5 linked regions of the Coturnix japonica genome follow. The protein of the gene in region 4 interacts with the protein of the main gene of each other region in a biochemical or structural test. Links are inferred from orthologs where the notes say so. Each region holds a gene or a part of one and is shown on either strand. Other genes may lie near its edges.

Region 1 (4,019 bases), on a different chromosome or scaffold from region 4:
CACTAGCAGACAAAAATGGAGCTGGACTGTGTAGAGGTCAGCACAACGAGCAAAGCAGGGTTTCCCACATCATACACACATGTGGCTAAGTGAGATTCCTTCCCAATTGGTTACTATCCAAAAACAGCTTATCTGGGCAGGCAAATGGCCTAAAGGGTGTCTTGGTCAATAGCAGAGGGAAAGCGAGCAGGTTAGTGTGGTCTTTGTTTCCCCCTATAGTTGGCCCCGTGTACAAAATTCTTGGCACAGAACTGTGTAATGGGACCATGTCAACATGAGAGTCTGTTGAGTGCAAGGTTCAGCCCATGCAAGCTGCTCATCCCATGGCACAGTGTTATGAAGCTCCTTCTGCACCACTGTTGGGAGACAGACAGACAAATTGGTACTTGGGTAATGTGTCCTAATGACGACGAGCTCAGAAATGCAATGCAAATCATAGCCTTCAGCAGCCTTATCAGCAAGCAGAGAAGCTCAGTGCAGAAGGTATGATGTATTCCAATCTAACCAGCCAGCTTCGTTTATTTAAAGAAACAGGAAATGGAAAAAAGCAAAACGAACAACTCCGTTCACCATAATGCCACTCTTATCTCTCCTACGGCACTGGGATGCCAAGCTTTCCAAGGATCAGCGTGAGCAGTGATCCACGGGCAGCTCCCATCGTTACCCTATGCCCCCCAAACAAAGGAGCTGCGATATCCCCACCTCCGCAGCGCACCCGGCCGCGCTGCCCCTCGCACCTCTCTGTCTCCTCCTACAGGAGCTGCCGCGCCTTTGCACCGGCAAAGCTCTGCTCGACGGCCCTTCGGCCGGCGGTGCACGGAGCCCCATGCGGCATCTCCACCCAGGAGAAGAGCTCCTGGGGAGGAAGAGCGGCCGGCTTTTTCTCGGTGTGCCCCGGCAGCCCTCCCGCCCAGCGCACGTGTCAATAGAAGCGGCAGCGCTCCTAGGAGCGGTCTCACGCCTCTCCCCGGCAGCCGATGGAGCTGCTGCTGCTTCGCGCTCGTCCCCATTCTCCCCCTCCTTCCTCCGTGCGCGCGGCCGGGCTCCACGGGTGCCGTGATTGGAATCCGGCTCCGTCCCGCCCCGCCCGCCCTCCAGCTCCGCAGGGACGCGCCGGGCGTCGGGAGCGCTGCCGGGGAGCGAGCCTGCGCCGCCCCGCCCCGCCCCGCCCCGCCCCGCCCTCCCCCTCCCGGCTCTCGGCCGCCTTCGCTCCCGTCTTACAGGAGCCGTCGGGGTTCCGGGCGCGGCCTGCGTAACGCAGCGGGAGCGGCTCCGTGTTGCTTCGCCTTCCGTCCCGCCGCAGAGGATGAGGAGCCTCCAGGAGCGGTGAGTGCGGGGTCGTGCCGGGCGGTGTGGAGCGCCGCGCCCCGCTCCTGCGTTCCACCCCTTCTCGGCCCGCGGGGCTCCGAGCACCGGGCCCTCGTCCCGCCCCCGGCCCGCTCTCCCCGTCGGCTGCGGGCTCGGCCCTTCTGCTCCGAGCTCTCCGGCCCGGCCGCTCTCCCCGCCGAGCGCCCTCCGCGGGTCGGGCCGATGCTCGGAGACCGTCGGCGGGCGAAGCGCGGCGGCTCCCGGGGCCGGCGGCTTCCTGCGTGGGCACGGGGCCGCCTGCGGGGCCGGGCAGGCCCGGCGCACGCCGCTCTGTCTGGCCGCCTTCGCCCTCCCCCTGCGTCTGCGCCCGCGGTGTTGTAATTCCAGGCGCGGTGCCGAGCCGGCGGCTGAGCGGGGCCTGCGAGCGGCTCCGGGAGGCCGCGGGGAGCGGGGGGACGGCACTAATGCCGAGCCGTGACCCGCCGCTGCTGGGCGGTGAGGAGCCGCCTGGGCATCCCGCGGCACCGTGAGCGTCCGCCGTCCGGTTCCGGTTAAACCTGGTGACGAGATGTCCCGAAGAGGCTGAAAAACTTGAATGGCCTTTCATCAGCCTTTCATCTTCTGTACGACTAAGAGTGAATTCGGCATCAAGGAGCGGTGGGAGGCTGTAGCGCGGTCGTGTGGCCTGTTGTGATGAAGGCCGTACAATGGGGACGCTTCCAGGTGCGGAGTGGTTGTGTTTGTGAGCTGTGTTTTGTTGTGTTTTGCGTTCCTTGAGGACGGGTAACGATTTGCTGGGTTCCATACCCTGTCAGCTGCTTGGTGCCTGCCCTCTGTGCGAGTGGAGCAGCTCCTTCTATGATGGCCTGGGCTCAAACTGTTCCTTGGTTCTCAGTAGAACCTTATGTTGGAGTAAGGAGCTGCATGAGACCGGTTGATATTCAGACCTGCTCTTCCAGCCTATAGTTAGTAAGACCCCCACGTTGTGGCATTGGTAGCAGCCTGAAAATATTACTTGAATACTTGTTGACAGTGTGTATCCTTTGTGTCTTTACTTTGGTTACTTTCGTATAGATCTTTCAACACTTGCGGTTTGTTGTGTTAGGGTCTGTGTGGTTTGTATTTCTGTATGGACACATGCATGCCCTGCAGGCTCTGAGTGTGGAGCTCTGTCAGAGATATTAATGCATAGTTGCAATCTTCAGTTGCCAGTTCTCTGTATATGCCTTTGGTCTCTCTGTTTGGAGACAGTGAATTCATGTGGGCTGACTGGAATCCTTCTCTTTAAAATGAGAAAGATATGGTTTGGAAGGGACCTCTGGATGTCACTGGGTCCAGCCCCTGCCCAAAGCAAGGGGGTTCAGCTAACTTCCTTTAGAAAGGACATGTGCTTCCCATAGATGAAAGTTACTGTGATCTGAGTTGTCACAAAGCATTGGGCTGCAAAGAAAAAAGCACGCTGAAGAAACAATAAATAGCTTTGTCTACTTCCTGGAGTCCTGAAAAGCAAGCAGTAGGTGGGTGGCTTAGGGTTGTATTTATTTTCTGCCTTGGTTTAAAGGTAGGAATGACAACAGGGTTGTATTTGTTCTCCAAGAAGCAAATGGGACATAATGTGACTACCAAATGATACTTGTGGATGGCAACTTCCGTAGTGAGGATGGTATCTCCTTGTAGTGCAGCTAAATGTCTGACACATGGAGCTTCTGAAGCTCTGCTAAGCATAGATGGGTAAACAGACAAGATGGCATGTTCTACAGATGCAAGTGTTCCTCCCTTGCTTTTGTCAGGCATCGGATCTTTCTGTCTGTGTGAGGTTTTTGGTTCCTCGTTTGAGGGGGGGGGGGGGGGGGGGGGGGGACAGAGAACGTCTTCAGTGCCTGGGTTTTGCTTCACATACCTTAATATTTTCTGTAAATAAATCACGTAAGTCACTTCAGAGCTGTTATATGTAGGTACTGATGGAGTGCTTAGACACGTTAATGTTCCTCAAATGTGTGTGGGGGTGGGGGGCAGTGTGTGTACTTGATTTTTGACGGCTGCCTTGCCTGTAGCAGCTGATGATTTAGTGCCTTTTCTTCCCTGAACGAGAGCTGCAAAAATCTTTTGCAGTTGCTCTACCAAACCCTCGCTGATTATTCCTAGTCATGGTGATGTCATGGAGTCTCTGTGCTTTCTGAAACATTCGGTGCTTTAAAGGGAAAGCAAGGAATTTCTGTCTCTCTTTCCTGTCGTCACTTAAAAGTCGCAGTGAAGTCTGTAGAGCAGTTGATTTTTCTCAGAAATAGTCATTTTATCTACCCCCCCCCCGAGTTATTCTTTTAACTCAGTATAGCTCTTGTGTGAGGGATTCGGTCCAAAAACACACCGAGTACTTTGTGCTCTAGGCGTATGTTTTGTGCTTCCCTCAACAAAACAAAGCAATTTTTCTCCTGCTCTTTAATATCAAGGATTTCATTTTCCTCTAGGGAGGGTGAATGTTAGGTTCCCTTTGTTTTCCTATGAGGCTGTGTCCTTGCTGAGAGAGTAAGCTGCAGCCTCTTGCTGGTCTGACCACTGTGTGAGATGGAGCACTCCAGAACTGCATGGGAATCGCAGCAGTGAGAGGACACTGAAGTTTACTGTAGTCAGTTGACAACTGGAGTATTTTGTATCAGTGTTTTTAGTGTAACATGAGGCTCGAGTTCTTCATTTGTGCTACATCAGAGATG
Region 2 (3,512 bases), on a different chromosome or scaffold from region 4:
GCAGCCAATCGTATTTTTGGCAAGTCATGTCATTAAAATTAACAGTGACAGTGCAAGTAAGGAATGCAAAGAATTCCTAGTGCAATAAAGAAGAGAAGCACAGGCAATATTGCTGATTAAAATTACCACTTCCGCGTGTTCACCCTGGGAGTGATTAGGAGAATTTAAAGATAAAACAACCAAAAAGGGGGGGGTTGGGGAGGGGGGGGGAAGCTGTTCAAAGCCATTATTTAATGCCCTGATCTTGTCTTAGGATTTCTCTGTCTTCCTTCAGGCCACTACCTTTGCAACAGTACATCCAGCATGAGTCTTTATAGCTTGACCGTTTGTGAAATGCCCACTGCAGTCACTGAGCAAAGTCCATATGGTTCCGGTGTCTCCCAGATGGATGGCTTGGTAGGAGCTGCTGCCTCTGTAAGAAGCCACATGGGGACCGACTACACGAACTGCCTGGCTGGGCTGCCTCTGAGCCAGACACGTGCCTTCCTGTCAGGAAAGCACCACAAGAAGAAGGTCAACAGTCAGCTTTCAGTTTATCTAAGGAATTATCGATTTTGGTCAAAGTCTTTTTGATTCGCAGGGCTGTTAGTCGTGCTGATGGATTCTGATACCAGCATTCTTTCATCAACTTGGCAAGAGATGTTAACGTCTGGAAAAGAATAACAACAAAACACACATGTAAGTACACAAATCACAAGCCAGAACAGCAATAGGTTGGGCCCTAACACAGAATGGCTTTACCACCTTACGCATCATCTATTAGGCATTTCAAATAGACCAGTTTTTGAGTGCTGAAAAGTAGAGTTTGATAATTAAAGAGAATAAGTGACTCAACAATGGGCTGACTGCGGTGTCGAACCATCACAACTTTAGAACAGTAGTCTGAGGGGTCCAGACTGACTGTGGTGAAGGAAAACTTCAAGCAGCAGTCGCCTTTCAGAGAGAACTGTCCCTTATCATGGAGGCAGGGGAATCAGAGCACTGCTCCAAGTCTGTGTGCTTATGAGCCACAGAAAGGCCTAACAGGCTTCATTTCCCCCATGTACACCCTCCCTTGGAAAGTGAGTAATAACAAAGGAAGAGTAGCGTGAAAACAATTATTAATTCTTACTACTGAAGGGCCAGTGTGAGAATAGCTCAGATTTAACAGTCTGCTCATCGAGTTTTCTTCCTTCTGTAACATCAAGGTGCACACATAGATGGGTCTGAAACCTATGCTGGCAAGTAGCACTGAGATGATCTCAGCTTCAGATGGTTATAGGAGCAGTTCGCATGGCTTCAGGTCAGGAGAGGGGTCAGCTTTTACAAACCATACACCGGAACGTCTACTCACAGGGTCTGAGAACCACCTGTTGGGAATGTTTGGCCTTTGCTGATCTACACAGACCACTTTCCTCATGTCTTCAAAACTGGGATCATTGGGAACCAGGTCATAAAACGGTGGTTTATAGTCTTCTACAATACCTAGTGAAATACAACCAAGAGAGGCATTATTAAATGGCTGTCAGTGAAAGAGCACCTCTGCAAAGCCAGCATGTGTGAACCAGCCACCAGAGAAGCACAAAAATACCTGTAAGACTCCACACTGCCGTGCTAAACAGTCACTAGAAAAACAGAATAGCACTTACTATCACGGCAAGAGTTTCTCCTACCATGCAGCAAAATTAAAAGCTATATCCATTTTGGAGATGCCTGAGCCAAAATAAGAGGTAAATCTACTTGTTGGAAAGTCGTCTTTCATAAGGCATGGAGGTTTACAGGCTACCAGAGAACTGAGATATCTAGTAGAACAGCACAGAATTTCATCATCTGCACTGTTGTTTCCAATAGGGTTGACACGCTTTGTGCTGTTCCATGCATCATGAAAGAGTCCCATATGGATGTCAGCATCTACTGACCCTCACGCCGGTGCTTCGCATAAAATCATTTCTGCTACTAACACAGTAAAATGCTTAGGGTAAGTGGCAACGCACATCTTCAGGTATAGGCTTTGCTATGGTATCTGAATGCAGTTTCCAAGATTCTGCTTTGAAAAGTGAGTAAACAAGAAGTTAATGCGTGTTCTCTCCACTTGTCCCCAGGTTACATAAGAGCAGCCTGCTGAAAGTCTTTTGCCTCCTCACTCTGGCATGCGTGCAGCACTGCCGCTGTTGTGGATTAAGCTCATCAATGACCCAGGGAGCTCAGCTTTCTTCAGAAGCCAGTTTAAAAACTGGTGTTTCAAGTTAGTTCGGAGAAACAGTGAGCAAATGAAGTCCTCTGTGTACAGCAGAAGCACAGACAGAACAAAGCTAGAACTGCTTTTTAGCAGCCTGGCAGCTGGTCTATAATCAGATACACACAAAATTCAGGATACTTTTTACTTCAAGTTATACTTGAGCAGAAAAAACAGTTCTCCAACATTTGCTACAGTGCTTGTTGGGATTTAGTGCTCTTGTTCTGTTGAAGACTAAGATCAAAATCCCACAGACACTCAGCAAAAGTCTGTAAATCTCCATATCTGTGGACTGGGCTTCAGCAAATCCTAACTCACCTGGGAAAGAGCTCAAAGACCTGGCTGTCCAAGGGACGTCCCAGAACACAGCCACTACCAGCCCACAGGTTTGCCACGTGTGCTCACAGCGAGCCATGCATGCTGTGTGTGCCACATTCTGTTTCCAAGCAACTTCTAACTAACTGCATATACTGAACATCACCTAGAGGGCTGAACTTTGGTCATGTCCTCCTTCTGCATCCTCTCAGAACACAAAATGAAGTCTGTGAGAATTTAAGAATACAAAAAAGCTCTTTTGGGTCTGTATCACTTGAAATGGAAGCAGCGGTTTGACACCATTCACAGGCAAACCCTCAGAGCTACACAGTACAGTCCTGAAGGTGCTGCCAGTGCCATTACAATATCAGATTATCACTGAGCAAGTCCAGCTCTGTTTCAGTTTCCTATGCTCACATAAGCATTCCAACCAACAACATACAGATGGCTATTTGAGGTACGGCACAGTATTAGAACACAAAGTCAACATGGTCTTGCCTTTACTCCAACAGAGTAACTGCGGAGCCCCTAATGCTCCTGGGGCAGCTGCTGGCTGCAGCAGCTGGTTGGCACAGCCACCAAGTGCCACCTCTCACCCACACGCCTCCTCCCAGCAAGATCGCTGTCCTGAACTGTGGCACATTTCCCTCTCTCACTTCCAGAGGAAAGGAAATGAGCCTCTTACTACAAGAGGCCCCGCTAAGCACAACCTACAGCTCTCCATTTTCTGGACAGCCTTAACGACTTCTGTCACTGACAACACCCTACGCTTCTCTCTCTGGAAGAGCTGATTTTTGCTAACCAAATGCAATGGAACTCTCACAGAGCAGCAGTTTTTTTCAACTTTATCCTCTGTTACTTGCATGAAGGCTTATCTTGTATGTAGAAATGCACTGTGGAGCAATACAGGACCTCCACAAACCCCAAAGCTGCAGGTACAGCCCTGCAGACACAACACAGACCACATGCCATTGAGCAGCAG
Region 3 (4,261 bases), on a different chromosome or scaffold from region 4:
GCAGGACAAAATCACTGCAAGAAATCGCCTGCTGTTTCGCAATAGGAATAAATGGCGTACTCTAATCTGAAGAAAAATAACCCAAAAAACCACTCCCATCTCTCCCTAACCTGCCCTGCTATTTGTCTGCTTAAAACAGAAAGGGTTTTTTTCAGTTTCTCCCTGGCAGAGATCGCCATTTCACAGCACATTTAGCCCACACGGAACTGATCAATAACACTACAGACACAAGACTAGACTATCCATTTACTAACCACAAGAAAATGTGCCGTTCAGCAAAATCCCTCGCATCCTAAGGCTGAAGTTTTCAAAGGCATCATCGCTCTGCAGATCTCATTACCGCCCTGGAGCAGTCCCGCACAAAGCCAGCCGGCCTTCAGGATGAGCAACAAGTGTGTCCCTGCACTGCACAGAACAGAGCCCAAAAGTGCATCGACACACACACAGAGGGCTGCACACACATTCAGCACGTGAGCAGGAAGGGTCAGGCTCAGCACACGAGCAACACATCGAGTGTTACACAGCTCTGCAGGTTTCAGGTGCAGCTGGTGGCAGCAGCTCTCCAGCCACCGGTTGCTCCATCACCATTTCCCTCCCAGCCCAAAGGATGGAGCCTCTCACACCGCTCGTCTCTGAGGTCTGAGAGCCACAGCACGACCGCCGGGTTTCAGGCGCTAAGAAAGTGAAAAACCGAACGGCAAAACACGAAACCCAACAGCTGAACACAAATCACTGTTCGGAAATGGAAAGTCTGGCTTTTCGGGCTGTTTCGGTGCACGCACCGATACGTGCTCAGCCCTCGCTATCGGTGCGGGATGAGCTCATGCTTTCACAACAGCAATTATTCCGAACTAATGAAGCATTAATGAAGGTTGCCATCCACCGCTGGACGCTTCCAGAGCCCTAAATTAAGTTCGGAATATTTCACAGCTTGGTAAATAATCCACTGGAGCAAACACGAGGCCGGGAACTGCCCACAAGTGAACGAGGTGGGCACAGCCCCGGGTGGGACCCACACGAGCACTATGAGCACTGCACGTACCTGAAAGAGTTGTGCACCGGGGAATGACAGTGAGAACAGGAATCTTTCACTGCCATCCCCAAACGTTTGGCATTTCATAGACTCACTGAACGGCCTGGATAGAAAAGGACCACAAACTGACCCAGCTCCAACCCCCTGCTGTGTGCAGGGTCACCAACCAGCAGCCCAGGCTGCCCAGAGCCACATCCAGCCTGGCCTTGAATGCCTGCAGGGATGGGGCATCCACAGCCTCCTTGGGGAAACTATTCCAGTGCATCACCACCCTCTGGGGGAAAAACTTCCTCCTGGTATCCAACCTAAACCTCATCTCAAGAAATGACCTCTCGTCCCACCGATACAATCACCTCGTGCTTCCAACAGCTGAGCCCAAAGCAACAAAAGCACGCACTCACCTGAAGAACACGAGATGAGAAAAACAGCGAACGCTAACTTCGTAGCAGCTCCCATTTTCCAATGGCGTTAGAACATTTAAGTGACTTTTAGCATCCAGTTTCTCGGTCCTGCAAGCCGGACAATCCCCTCTTCTTGCGGAACCGTTATAAAGCGATCTAGAGCAAACTTCTCCGTTGATAGTGTTCACCAAACAGTAAAATCGGGGTCGTTTGGAGACCGACGGTCGCTTCAAAGCGAGAATCCGGGTTCGGGGGGGCTCGAACTATTGTGAGCGGCGTTTCAAAACACACGTGTCATTTGGCTTCTGGACCAAGAGCGGCGGGATTTAATTCACAAAAGTACGCTACGAATCCACGGCAAATAAAGGAAGATTGATTGAAGTCAACGGCGGAGCCGCCGGGTGCGATCCGAGGCGGTGTGTATCGGCGCTCACTCCGTCATGAAGCTCCGTGTTTCCCCGCTCTATGTCCCGGTTCCCGTTATGCAGCGCGGGGCTCCGGGCAGCGCGGTGGCTCCATGGCGGCTCCGGGCAGCGCTCCGACAGTCCGAGCGGCAGCGGGGCTGAGCGCTCCGCTACGGGAAACACGATTTACGATTCCCCCCCTCTACGACGATTCCTCCCCCTACGATGCTTCCATGCCCCCCCCACCCACCCAGCTCCCCCGAGACTCGGCTTGGTATTTAAACGCAAAATGAAGGGAAAAAAATAATAATAAAGAAAATAAAGAGCAAAGCAACGGCAAGGCCAGGCACGGCTCCCGGTGGCTGCGCTCCGCGGGGCCGCTCAGGGCTGCACGGCCGCCCGCAGGGCCCTTCCCTCGGCAGCCCCCGGGGACATCGCCCCGCAACGAGTCTGCTGCTTTTGAGGGAAAAACAAACAAATAAACGCAAAAGAGAAGCAGGACCGACAGGAGAAGGGCCCACAGGAGAAGGGCTGACAAGGAGAAGCCCTCGTGCCGCCCTGAGCTCCCAGCCCTCAGCCCTGAGCTCGCAGCCCTCAGTCCTTATCTCCCGGTCCTTAGCTCTCCTCCCGCCTCACTCCCGTCCCGCTCGGATCTCGGCTGGTCTCTCCCGTCTCCCTTTTGCCGTTGTCAGAGCGGCGGACACCAACTTTGTCCCTCCAGCAGTGCGGTTTGAGGGTTGCCGAGGAGAAAAGGCCGAGCCCGGTTTCGATCTGCGGGCGGTGCTGGTGGTTGGAGCCGTCTCTAAAGTCTCCCAAGTCCAACCTGCAGCTCGGAACGACCCTCCGTACCCTGCTGCTGCCGCTGCTCCCCTGTGGTAATTTCATATCTACCCATTCACTTGTGTGGCGTGGAGAACGGACCCAAGATGGCGGCGCCCGGCCGATTGTTTTTGTTTCCTCTCCTCCTCCCCCTCCCCCCCCTCCCCTCCACACTCACGGCAGCCCGGCAAGACACGCCGTGCGAGAGCGCGCCGCATCGGATTGACAGCCGCGCCGCCCAATCACAGCGCGAGGAGCGCCGCTCGGCCCCGCCCCCCTCCAGACCCACCCCGAGGGGGCGGGGCGCGCTCCCCCCTCCCCTCCCCTCCCACCTGCCCGCGTGTGCGCGCGCACGGCTGAGGAGGCGCGCGAGCGGGCTGCGTGCACGCGCCCCGCCTTCCCGCCTCAGGGCGTGGTGCTCGCGCCGCCCTCAGAGCTGCTCTGTGTAACGACTGCGGTGGGAAGCCCTCCTTTATTTAATGCCCCGTTGGTGGCTTTAATAGATGCCCATAGTTTGCATCAGGGATAAAGAAATGCTTGTTTAGGTGTTGAGGACTGATGTGGGGAAGCACAAAGGCCTCAGCGCTGGGATTTAACTTCTGTATTTCTGAAGCAAGAAGCACCAAGTTCTCAATAACTACATCACTAACTATAGATGTGCATTGGAGGGTTACGGTCCAAGTTCCCTTGGTGGGGAGCTGTCGTTACGTGGTGCTACATTGGGTGCTGTGTGCGAGGTAATTCACATGTGTGGGTTTGCAAGTCAATCACAGAATGACCCGGGTTGGAAGGGACCTCAAGGATCATGTAGTTCCAACCCCTCTGCCTGGCAGGGCCACCAAACGTAAGTCAAGGCTGGGTAATGGCCTCAAGTTGTGCTGGAGGAGGTTCAGAGTAGATACGAGGAGCCATTTGTTCTCCAGAGAGCAGCCAGGCACTGCACAGCTGCACCGGGTGGGGGTTACCATCCCATGGATGTGCCCTGGATGTGGGCATGGGGGGTGGGTCCACATGGGGATCTCAGAGCTCTTTGTTAACCTTAATGATTCTATGATCCTCACTTCAAACACCAACACAAAGTCATCCTCCAGTGACGTTTTTGATTGGAAAAATACCCCAAAATCAAACAAGCCGTATGGGATCGTGCGCATCATGAAGCACCGGGATGTGTGGCAACACTTTTTATGCCATTTTTTTTAATCCAGGCATTTCAGGATGATTTACAAGCATTAATTAATGCATTACAACACTCCTACTTAATCTGTAGCTTTTAATATTCTTCAATAGCAGAGTATTTAAACGTGACCTGTTCTGCAGGTTGCGTTTTCACTTTGCTCAGCTTCTTCGGGATGCTTGTCGTGTTGCCACATGAGCAGGAAATTACAGCTAAAAATATTGCCATTGTATGTGTTTATATATATAGATAGATAGATATAATAGCACAAATATGCCACCTGTGTAACATTTGCATGAATTTTGTAGGAAGGAAGGAGGTATCTCGAGATTTCTCAAGTTGCTCCTTGTTCTTAACCATGGGCAGGTCTTTGCCTGCAGTGTCAGTTGAGCAGAGTGGAGCCTCCTGGCCATCCACAAAAGCAGCGATC
Region 4 (3,779 bases):
GACCATTATTTTTTTCAGCTGCCTCCATAGCAATGCAATGTGGTATCCACAGTAGGAAACCTCCTGCCAGCAGCATCTCCGAAATATGCTAAAACAATCTAAATTAGAAAATGTCAGCTTCTTGGCTGATGTTCCCTTGGAGTTTCTTTTTTCCTTCCTTGTGCCTCTATAATTTTATTGGGATGACTAAATCTCTGAACTATGTTAGCAGTAAACAGAACTAATTTACCCCCCACTTCTTTGAAACAGCTGCTGACAGCTGCACTATAATTCAATCATAGATCTTTGCAATGCGCTCTGCAAAACATATTCATTTTTTTGTTGTTGTTGTTCATATTCTTTCCTCTGTTGTGTTTGGACAGAAGGAGCTGCACCAAGCAGTGATGTGCTGGTTTTGCCAATTCACAGAGTTTGAGCTATGTGGAAACAGATGCTCAAGGTGAAATATTGCCCGGCCTAAAAGGTTCTATGAACACAGGGAGAAAAACCACACAGATACACGATGTTGTTGGGATATCTTTTGTAAAGTCGCAATGATTTATTTTACTAGTTTGTACAAAAGGCTTCTGACAACTGCTCTATGAGAAGAACCAGAAATGTGTATGCATTTTTTGCCAACTGTTAATAAATATCTTCTTAAATAAGGAAACAAATGTGCTTAGGAACTGAGAATCATTTTTCCTGGATGTGATTGAAAAGGAATTCAGAGATGGAAATAAATAATTCTTCTGCTTTGTGACAACTATTTACATAAAAATGTACAAACAGTGAAGCTGATGTTAAGCCTAGCAACAGAAATCCTATTATGTGGAAAAGAACAAACAAACAAACAACCCCCACATAATATTTAATATATGAATCCTATACAGCAAGATACTGCAGTCCAAGTTAAAAAAAAAATGCAATACACCAATGCTGTGACCACCAGCACAGAAACAGTTGCAAGAAAAACTAATCCTTGTCTACTAAATAGTGGAAATTTAGGTCTGATTAGCTCATAACTTCTAGGTGTAGCACCTTACCTTTAGGAGGCTTACAGAAACACTGGTGTACATACATATACAATGTCCAAAGATGTTTCTGAGCTGTAGGATTTCAATACCTCCCTCTAAGAGATGCCCGAGGGCAGTTTTGACTTGACTGCTATAGATGGTCTTCTCTGCAGGCTCCAGGGAGACATGTTTGGCTTCAGTAGTTGTCGTGGCTGTGGGTGACACCTTGGTCAGTCTCTCCTTGCTGCAGGTTGGAGGTTCTCTGCAGCGTTGTGCTGTGGGTGGGCCGTTCCTGCACACATTTGAGTTGTCTGGTTTGGAAGTGGGGCGCATCTGGAGATCCAAAGCCTACCAATATCGTGGGGAGACTTCCACGTTCCCATAAGCCTAATCCTGCTGCTGAGAGAACTGTTAGGAAAACACCAGTTGACTTAAATGCTATTAGACCATCAGAAACAAGTTTCCAATTTATTTCATAGAGTAATCTTTTTCTTCCTTTACTTGTTTGTTTGCTTTTTAAATAAGCCATCTGGTCTGGATTTGGTCTGTGGCTAAAGGAAGAGGAGCAGTGTCTGATTTCCAAATTCTCGTGGTTGCATTCTGTTATCTTCTTTCTCTCCGTCCTCTAAGGATGGACCTGGGGCTGAGTTCCCCCTGCAGCTGTATCACATCCCCTCAGTGTGCTGAGAACCACGTCAAGGCACTTAATGATGTTCTGGACCCATCTATTAGAGGTCCAGACTTCAGAAGTTTGAGGATTTAGAGCTGCGTTTGCTGAGGACCTGGCGTTTATTTGGACAGAACCTTTTTCTCTCCAGTAAAATTCATGCCAGTCCTGCTTCTGTAGTTGTAATGTATGCCCAAGTTTTGAGTTAGCTTGTGATTGGTTTCTGCTATTCTGTATTCTTATCACAATGACTTCAAGTTTAAATTGCATAAATGTGATGCTTGTGTAACCTGTGCTTTTAAAAGAAGGCAAAGGGGTGGTTTCTTGTTCCTGGTTCCAGCTTGTTGATGTGGCTCCTGAAAGTTGTTGTGGGTTTTTTTTGTTTGCGTTTTGCTTGTTGTTGTTTTCAGAGATGAGACCAGTAGTAGAGCAGTGTCTTCTATTGCAATCACTGACCCTGGGATGTAAGGTCCCCTGCAATGTCCCTATAGCTGTGCTGGGGTGGTGTTGGCAGTTTGTCTGTGCTCACAGCACCTTCTGACTTCACGTCTTTCAAAAGAGGAGTTTGTTCTGTCACTGAAGTCAATGGATGTTTTCCAAACAGGAGCAGGATCTTCAGCTGTCTTTCACAACTCTGTAGCTGATCGAGGTACCCCAGCTAAGCGTTAGGTTTAATCCCAGATTGTTTCTTAATGTTGTGCTGCTTTCCTGTTTCAAACTCATAGCACGTAAATTCTTTCTGGTTGCTACAGGAAGTTTCTTTTCTCTTGAGGAAAAAGAAGTATACCTCCAAAGTCTTGTTCTTTGGAGTTACTTCCTTCAGTTCTTTTACTTGCCCATTACAGTGTTCTTTTCCTCAGTCTGGTTTGTCCTTTTGAACTCCATTCAATCCAGATATCGCTTCTGCTCCTGCCATTTAAAACTGGAACTTGCATCCAATTAAAATTGCTCCTGCTTATGAAATAGTTGCAAACAGAGGGATGGAAGTAATAATTCTCTAACAAAATACCTGTTCACTCCAGGTATATTTTGTTCACTTACTTTATTGCAAACTGTGTTACAGGAACTACACATGTTCAATAGTCACAGCGCATTCTCGCTTTGGATAATTATTCATTTTTAATTCACAATCAACATTGGTGAATTTGCAGTCTTCTGAAAGACTCGTTTGCAGAAGTATGTGTTGTAGGAGCCAATTTTGCAGGCAGATTTGGTTTTAAATGGTTTCTCTGGCTTGTTTCAGTTTACAAGCTCATTGTCTGTAATAAACTAAAACAAAATGTGTTCAAATGCCACTTAGATCCAGAAACTGTTCCATTGTCTGAACTTTCAGAAGCCCAGTCTTAAAAACTGGGATTTTTGAGCCCATTGCTGCAGTGCTAACCTTTTCCCCTCCCCCACACATCCATACAAAACTCTCTCTTTATGAATAACCTTTCTCTTCCCTACAAATCTAATGACAGCCACATGCTCGTACCACCATATTCCTGTACTTTTTTAAGATAACGTTGGAGCTGTCATCAAAATAGAGCACTGAGATGGCATTGAGTTGGGTGGGAGCGCAGCAGGGTTTCGGCACAGTCTCTGGGTTTATAAAGTGAACCTGAGGAATTAAAGCAGAGGCATGTTAAGATTTCCATTTCCCTTCTCCTCCCTCATGTTTTCCTTTCCCAGGCAGCCCTCTCTCCCCCATAAGCACACACAGACATGTTTTGAACACCTGGCTTTGTGTACAAATGTCTCGAGATGTCCCCTTGCATGGATGGAGGCTGACGCACGCACCCAAGTCAGATCTAGTTGGAAATCTTTCAGTGAAGCAGGTTTTCATTAGAAGATTCCCATTTGTCAGAGCAGCCAGCGTTCTGCAGCAATGTACCAGTTCCAATAAACTCTGCAGGGTGTGCGTGTGAGGTTTTGGGAGCAGTCCCATGGGTGCTGTGTGGGGGGCCCTGTGCTGGCTGGCACCAAGGGCTGTGGGTCCCTGACTGCTGCTGCAGGGCCTCCAAGAGAGGGAGGAGAGTAAACAGTCCTTCAGGAGGAGAACATGCAAAGCTTCTTGTCTTGGATATGAGGATGCTTCTGGCTTCCCTAGTGCTTTTTGCGGTGCTGTTCTTAGATGT
Region 5 (4,260 bases), on a different chromosome or scaffold from region 4:
AATGAAATGATTTTAAAAACAGGTAGTTTAAAAGGGGAAGAAAAGTGGATTTAATACAGGTTGTAGTGATATTGCTAAGGTTGGTAATGCTCATTGAGAGATAGCCCCACAGTCTGTTTAGAAAACAGAAAGAATCTTTGTACTTGCAGCAAGTAGATAACGATGATATACTGAACTCCTTGTATCAAGTAGATAAGGAAGTTCTGCTTTGAATCAGCTCATTTTGTGTAAGCAAGGATTGTGTAATCAAGGCAAGGAGCTAACTGAGCATGCATGAATACTGGGTTTGACCAGTGAACGCGGTAAAATTCTGACTAAGGATCTTGCGACCACCACCATAAAAAGATGGAGCATGTGCAAGGAGGCAGAACCCTATGTTAATGATTTTGAGGAAAGTATTGAACATGTATGTACTGACCAGGAAAGCTTTTGAATATCTAAGACAAGTAATATATATATATAAGGTGTAGGTAGAGAATATCCCCCATGCATCCAGCGTTGATAAGAAAGAATGCCAGCATTCTAAGCTTTATGGTATCAAATTCAGTTTCAGATGGGGTACTTTTGTCTTTTCAATCAACATTATGTGCTTACCCTGCTTCATGTCTATATTGCAATCATATTTTTCCCCGATAAAACATGTAGATACTAATGATTGCAAATGCATTAAATCAGTTTTGATCTATCATAGCTTTCTGACATTTGCAAACTAAACCCACTGATGAAAACTGATGTAGAGTAAAATTATGTTTCTGCAGTCAAATTGCATATTATTTATGCCGAGCTTACGTGTGTTACAAAAGAGTTACTCATTGACTTTTTCATTAGAATCCAGTCTTTTTGCCTAACAGAGGATGCATCATGAAACCTAGCAGCTCCTCATATTGTTGCACTTTTCTATAATCTTAAAAGCTTTCTGATGGCTTCTATTCATTTTCTCAATAGATTTTAATTACTACTGATCCTGAGCAATTTGTTTAATAAGGCCCCAACTGTCTGTGTAATTATTCCAATCTGTGCCTCTTTCTCAGCTTTTGCCTGCAAGGCTGATAAATGGGGCGAGGGGAAAAGGGCAGCCTCCTGCGCCGGGCTGCAGAGCACTGTTCCCGCTTTGTCTCTGGCATTCCCAATGGGGAACTCCCTTTGAAAGAGCTGCTGTGATGGAGGGTGCGGGAGAGCTATGGAAATATTATTCAGCTTAATTTAAGAAATCTGCATAAATATCAGTCATGGCAAACAGCTTCCTTATCTTACAAAATATTGCATTTTTATGGCTACTGTATTGTTTCCCAGCATTTTGCGGCCATAATATCAGCTTACTCATGAGATCCCTGATTATATAAGGAGCAGAGTGAAGTTTCTCTGTGCTTGTAGAGTTTAAGAGGAATGATAAATTTGGTCTGGATTATAGGTGTATTTTTTGCAGTTTAGAGTGAATGCTAATGATGAATCTTCTTCATGTTTTTATAGGTACTGACCTTTTTGGCTGCTGTTTTGGTTATGCACAATTATGAGATCAGGTACAGGGATTTCAAATCTTGGTTATACTTGTGTGCAGAAGCACAGTAGAAGTTGTACTGTGTGTCTTTTCTGTATTTGTTTCCCAGTATGTTCTAGACTTTTCTGTCCTTTGGAGAATAAATTGTATAATGTTTTTTCTTCATTTTAACTCAGCCCATTCTGATAGCATATGGTCAAATTCCAGCTGAAACGTTTTTTTTTGTTCAGTGTCACCTTTAGATCAGAAAATGAAATGTGAAATAGATTAAGGAAAAGAACAAAAAGCACTCACAAATGAGAAGGCATGCTTTTTAATAGCTGGAAGGATACACGCAGTGTCATGGTTAAAAAGCAAGATTGCAGACTACCTTGTCTATAGTGAATATACCTCCATTTGTATGTTTAACATTAGTTCAGCACAGGCAAATTCTTCTTCTTGGGAAGTTCAAAAAACAAAATGAAGTGTTTTATGCTTATCCAAGACCTTTGCTTTTTCTGTTCAGGAACAGTTTGCTGTTGTTTTTTCTTTCATTCTATCCATATATGTCCATGAAGTTTGCATTTTCTGCATTAAAGTGCTTGTGACTGTGGATGATGTCATCCTTTCCTCCATGGACTTCCCATGAGAAGGCACAAATCAAGCGCTTTTTGGAAGCACAGGACTGAGCTAGGTTTTCTGGAAAATGATCACCTTTGAGATAAAAGCTGAAGGTATTACTTTAGAGCCTATAAGTAATCTTATTGTGAGTCTAAAGCCTTTGCTCCAGGGGAGAAGTTTACTTTAGCCTAGACTTTAGAGTAGGATTTACATTAGTATTGAAGTATATATTATGCCAGTTTTTAGTTCTGAAATAGCTGTGCTTGTTTGTGATCTGTATTCCTTTGAGTTCAGAGGTTTATGCCCCTTATTGGGGAACAACCTGCTGTACTGCCAAGTAGCTGCTAGATAAGAAATCCTGCAAAGACTTGTGTTACCAATGGATAGACTTACCCCCTCTCAGAGTGATCCTGCATGACTGGAAGGGAAATAGTGAAGCAGAACAGTGATATTGCACATCTGTGTTCTGAAATACTAATATGGAGTGGTCAGAAACCAAGTAGCTTAGAAAACCAAACCTTTTCAACCTGTAGCTTTGCATTAATGCCAGACTAGGATCTATAAACACAATCTGAGTATTTCAGAAAGGATATGACCTTATGCGCATAACCTGATGCAAGTGAAAGATCTGGATCTCCAATATTCAGTCCCTTCTGAAGGAGCTCAGCAATGAAAAGGAAAGTCTTCAACATCATAGAATCATGGAATCACAGAATGGTTTGGGTTGGAACATATTCTTAAGATCATCTAGTTCCAAGACCCCTGCTATAGTCAGGGACACCTCCCGCTAGATCAGGTTGCTCAAAGCCCCATCCAGCCTGTCCTCGAACACCTGCAGGACAGGGGCATCTACAAGCTCTGGGCAACCTGTTCTAGTGTCTCATCACTCTCAAGTAAAGAATTTCTTCCTAACATCTTGTCCAAGTCTACCCTCTTCCAATTTAAAGACATTTCCCCTCATCCTGTCACTACATGCCCTTATAAAAGTCCCTTCCCATCTTTCCTGTAAAAAATCTGTTTAATGATTCTGAGGGGGTAAAGTCAGTAAGTGTTTTGAATTTTAATTCATTGGGAAATGCATATCAGAGGTGCATGAGAACTCCAGGATACCATGGCTGAAGTTATTTGGGAGAAGTATTCACCATCAGCAGGTTGTCTCTGTAAAGAAAACACAAAATATCACAGTTCATTTCAGTGGTTAATTTTCTGTACAGGAATGTTCACAGAACTAGTATGAACAGGTTTTCTTTGAAGTTATCTCTGAATAAGGAGAACTGTAACATATGCCATGAACTAATGATGTCATTATAAGCTAGCTGCATATTTTCTTTTTTTAAAAAGTAGAAGTCTAAGCATATGATTAGCAGCAAAAACATTCTTTAATGACAAACAACAATAATTTTTCCCTTAAAACATCAGATTATAACAACTGGAGGGCAACAAATCTTCTAAAGGAAAAAGGATAGCTACTTGAATCAGACCATTATCAGCAAATCAGTTCTGTTTATGACCTTGCAAAATTTCTAGCTGTTCCAATATTGCAAAGGAAATGATAAATATTTGGCCACTGTTTGGAATAGGAATGAAATCAAGCCATTCTGCAACTCTTGAATTGGTGTTGATCTGTGTAAAACTACTTCAGATAAGATAAGCAGTGACATAGTAAAGATTTCATAGGAGCTGTCTAAATGAATAATTTCTCCGTTGCATTCTAGCGTTCTAATGGAGTGGTTAATTATAGAGATTTGTGAAAGAAGAGAAAGCTCTGGTCCTCCCATTTATCCTTTTCTCTGTGTTCTTGTGTCTCTGTTCAGTCTGTGAAATCGTTTTTTCTTACAATGCAAACATGTAGAACATCGTTTCTCCTCTATCTTCTTCATCATACTCGTGTAGCTGTTGTTCCATCTTCATTTTCACTTGCTTACAGACTCAAGGCATAATTCTCCAGGCTTGTCTTCAGTCCCACAGCTGTCTGAAACTGTTTTTTTTGCTGAGGACTTCATTAAAACTTGTATGACTTAATCTCAAAAACCCTGCATAAAACTAATCTTGATCTCCACACTACTTGTGAGGCTGTTGATCTCGCTCTGAGATTTATGATCTCTGCGGTAAAAGTTTCAGCTGACTGCCACTGTATTGTATGATTTCCTGTGCTTATTGTA

The links.
Region 1: the proteins of BMP7 (region 4) and BMPR1A form a complex in vitro, tested with the Homo sapiens proteins (2 studies listed by BioGRID). The link is inferred for Coturnix japonica from reciprocal best matches to the Homo sapiens genes BMP7 and BMPR1A.
Region 2: the proteins of BMP7 (region 4) and ACVR1 form a complex in vitro, tested with the Homo sapiens proteins (2 studies listed by BioGRID). The link is inferred for Coturnix japonica from reciprocal best matches to the Homo sapiens genes BMP7 and ACVR1.
Region 3: the proteins of BMP7 (region 4) and ACVR2A are reported together in a solved structure, tested with the Homo sapiens proteins (2 studies listed by BioGRID, with this or other methods). The link is inferred for Coturnix japonica from reciprocal best matches to the Homo sapiens genes BMP7 and ACVR2A.
Region 5: the proteins of BMP7 (region 4) and BMPR1B form a complex in vitro, tested with the Homo sapiens proteins (2 studies listed by BioGRID). The link is inferred for Coturnix japonica from reciprocal best matches to the Homo sapiens genes BMP7 and BMPR1B.

Annotation. Positions count from the first base shown.
Region 1 is NC_029521.1:1,763,883-1,767,901, forward strand, and holds the start of BMPR1A (bone morphogenetic protein receptor type-1A), read left to right. Parts: upstream 1-1,219; 5' UTR 1,220-1,326; intron 1,327-1,769; exon of another isoform or gene 1,770-2,031; intron 2,032-4,019. UniProt on the Homo sapiens protein: On ligand binding, forms a receptor complex consisting of two type II and two type I transmembrane serine/threonine kinases.
Region 2 is NC_029522.1:29,815,638-29,819,149, reverse strand, and holds part of ACVR1 (activin receptor type-1), read right to left. Parts: intron 1,465-3,512; coding exon 1,334-1,464; intron 650-1,333; coding exon 515-649; 3' UTR 1-514. UniProt on the Homo sapiens protein: Bone morphogenetic protein (BMP) type I receptor that is involved in a wide variety of biological processes, including bone, heart, cartilage, nervous, and reproductive system development and regulation.
Region 3 is NC_029522.1:31,390,542-31,394,802, forward strand, and holds the start of ACVR2A (activin receptor type-2A), read right to left. Parts: upstream 2,807-4,261; 5' UTR 1,490-2,806; coding exon 1,435-1,489; intron 1-1,434. UniProt on the Homo sapiens protein: On ligand binding, forms a receptor complex consisting of two type II and two type I transmembrane serine/threonine kinases.
Region 4 is NC_029535.1:10,587,490-10,591,268, reverse strand, and holds the end of BMP7 (bone morphogenetic protein 7), read right to left. Parts: intron 3,263-3,779; coding exon 3,113-3,262; 3' UTR 506-3,112; downstream 1-505. UniProt on the Homo sapiens protein: Growth factor of the TGF-beta superfamily that plays important role in various biological processes, including embryogenesis, hematopoiesis, neurogenesis and skeletal morphogenesis.
Region 5 is NC_029519.1:52,476,997-52,481,256, forward strand, and holds the start of BMPR1B (bone morphogenetic protein receptor type-1B), read left to right. Parts: upstream 1-1,457; 5' UTR 1,458-1,510; coding exon 1,511-1,520; intron 1,521-4,260. UniProt on the Homo sapiens protein: On ligand binding, forms a receptor complex consisting of two type II and two type I transmembrane serine/threonine kinases.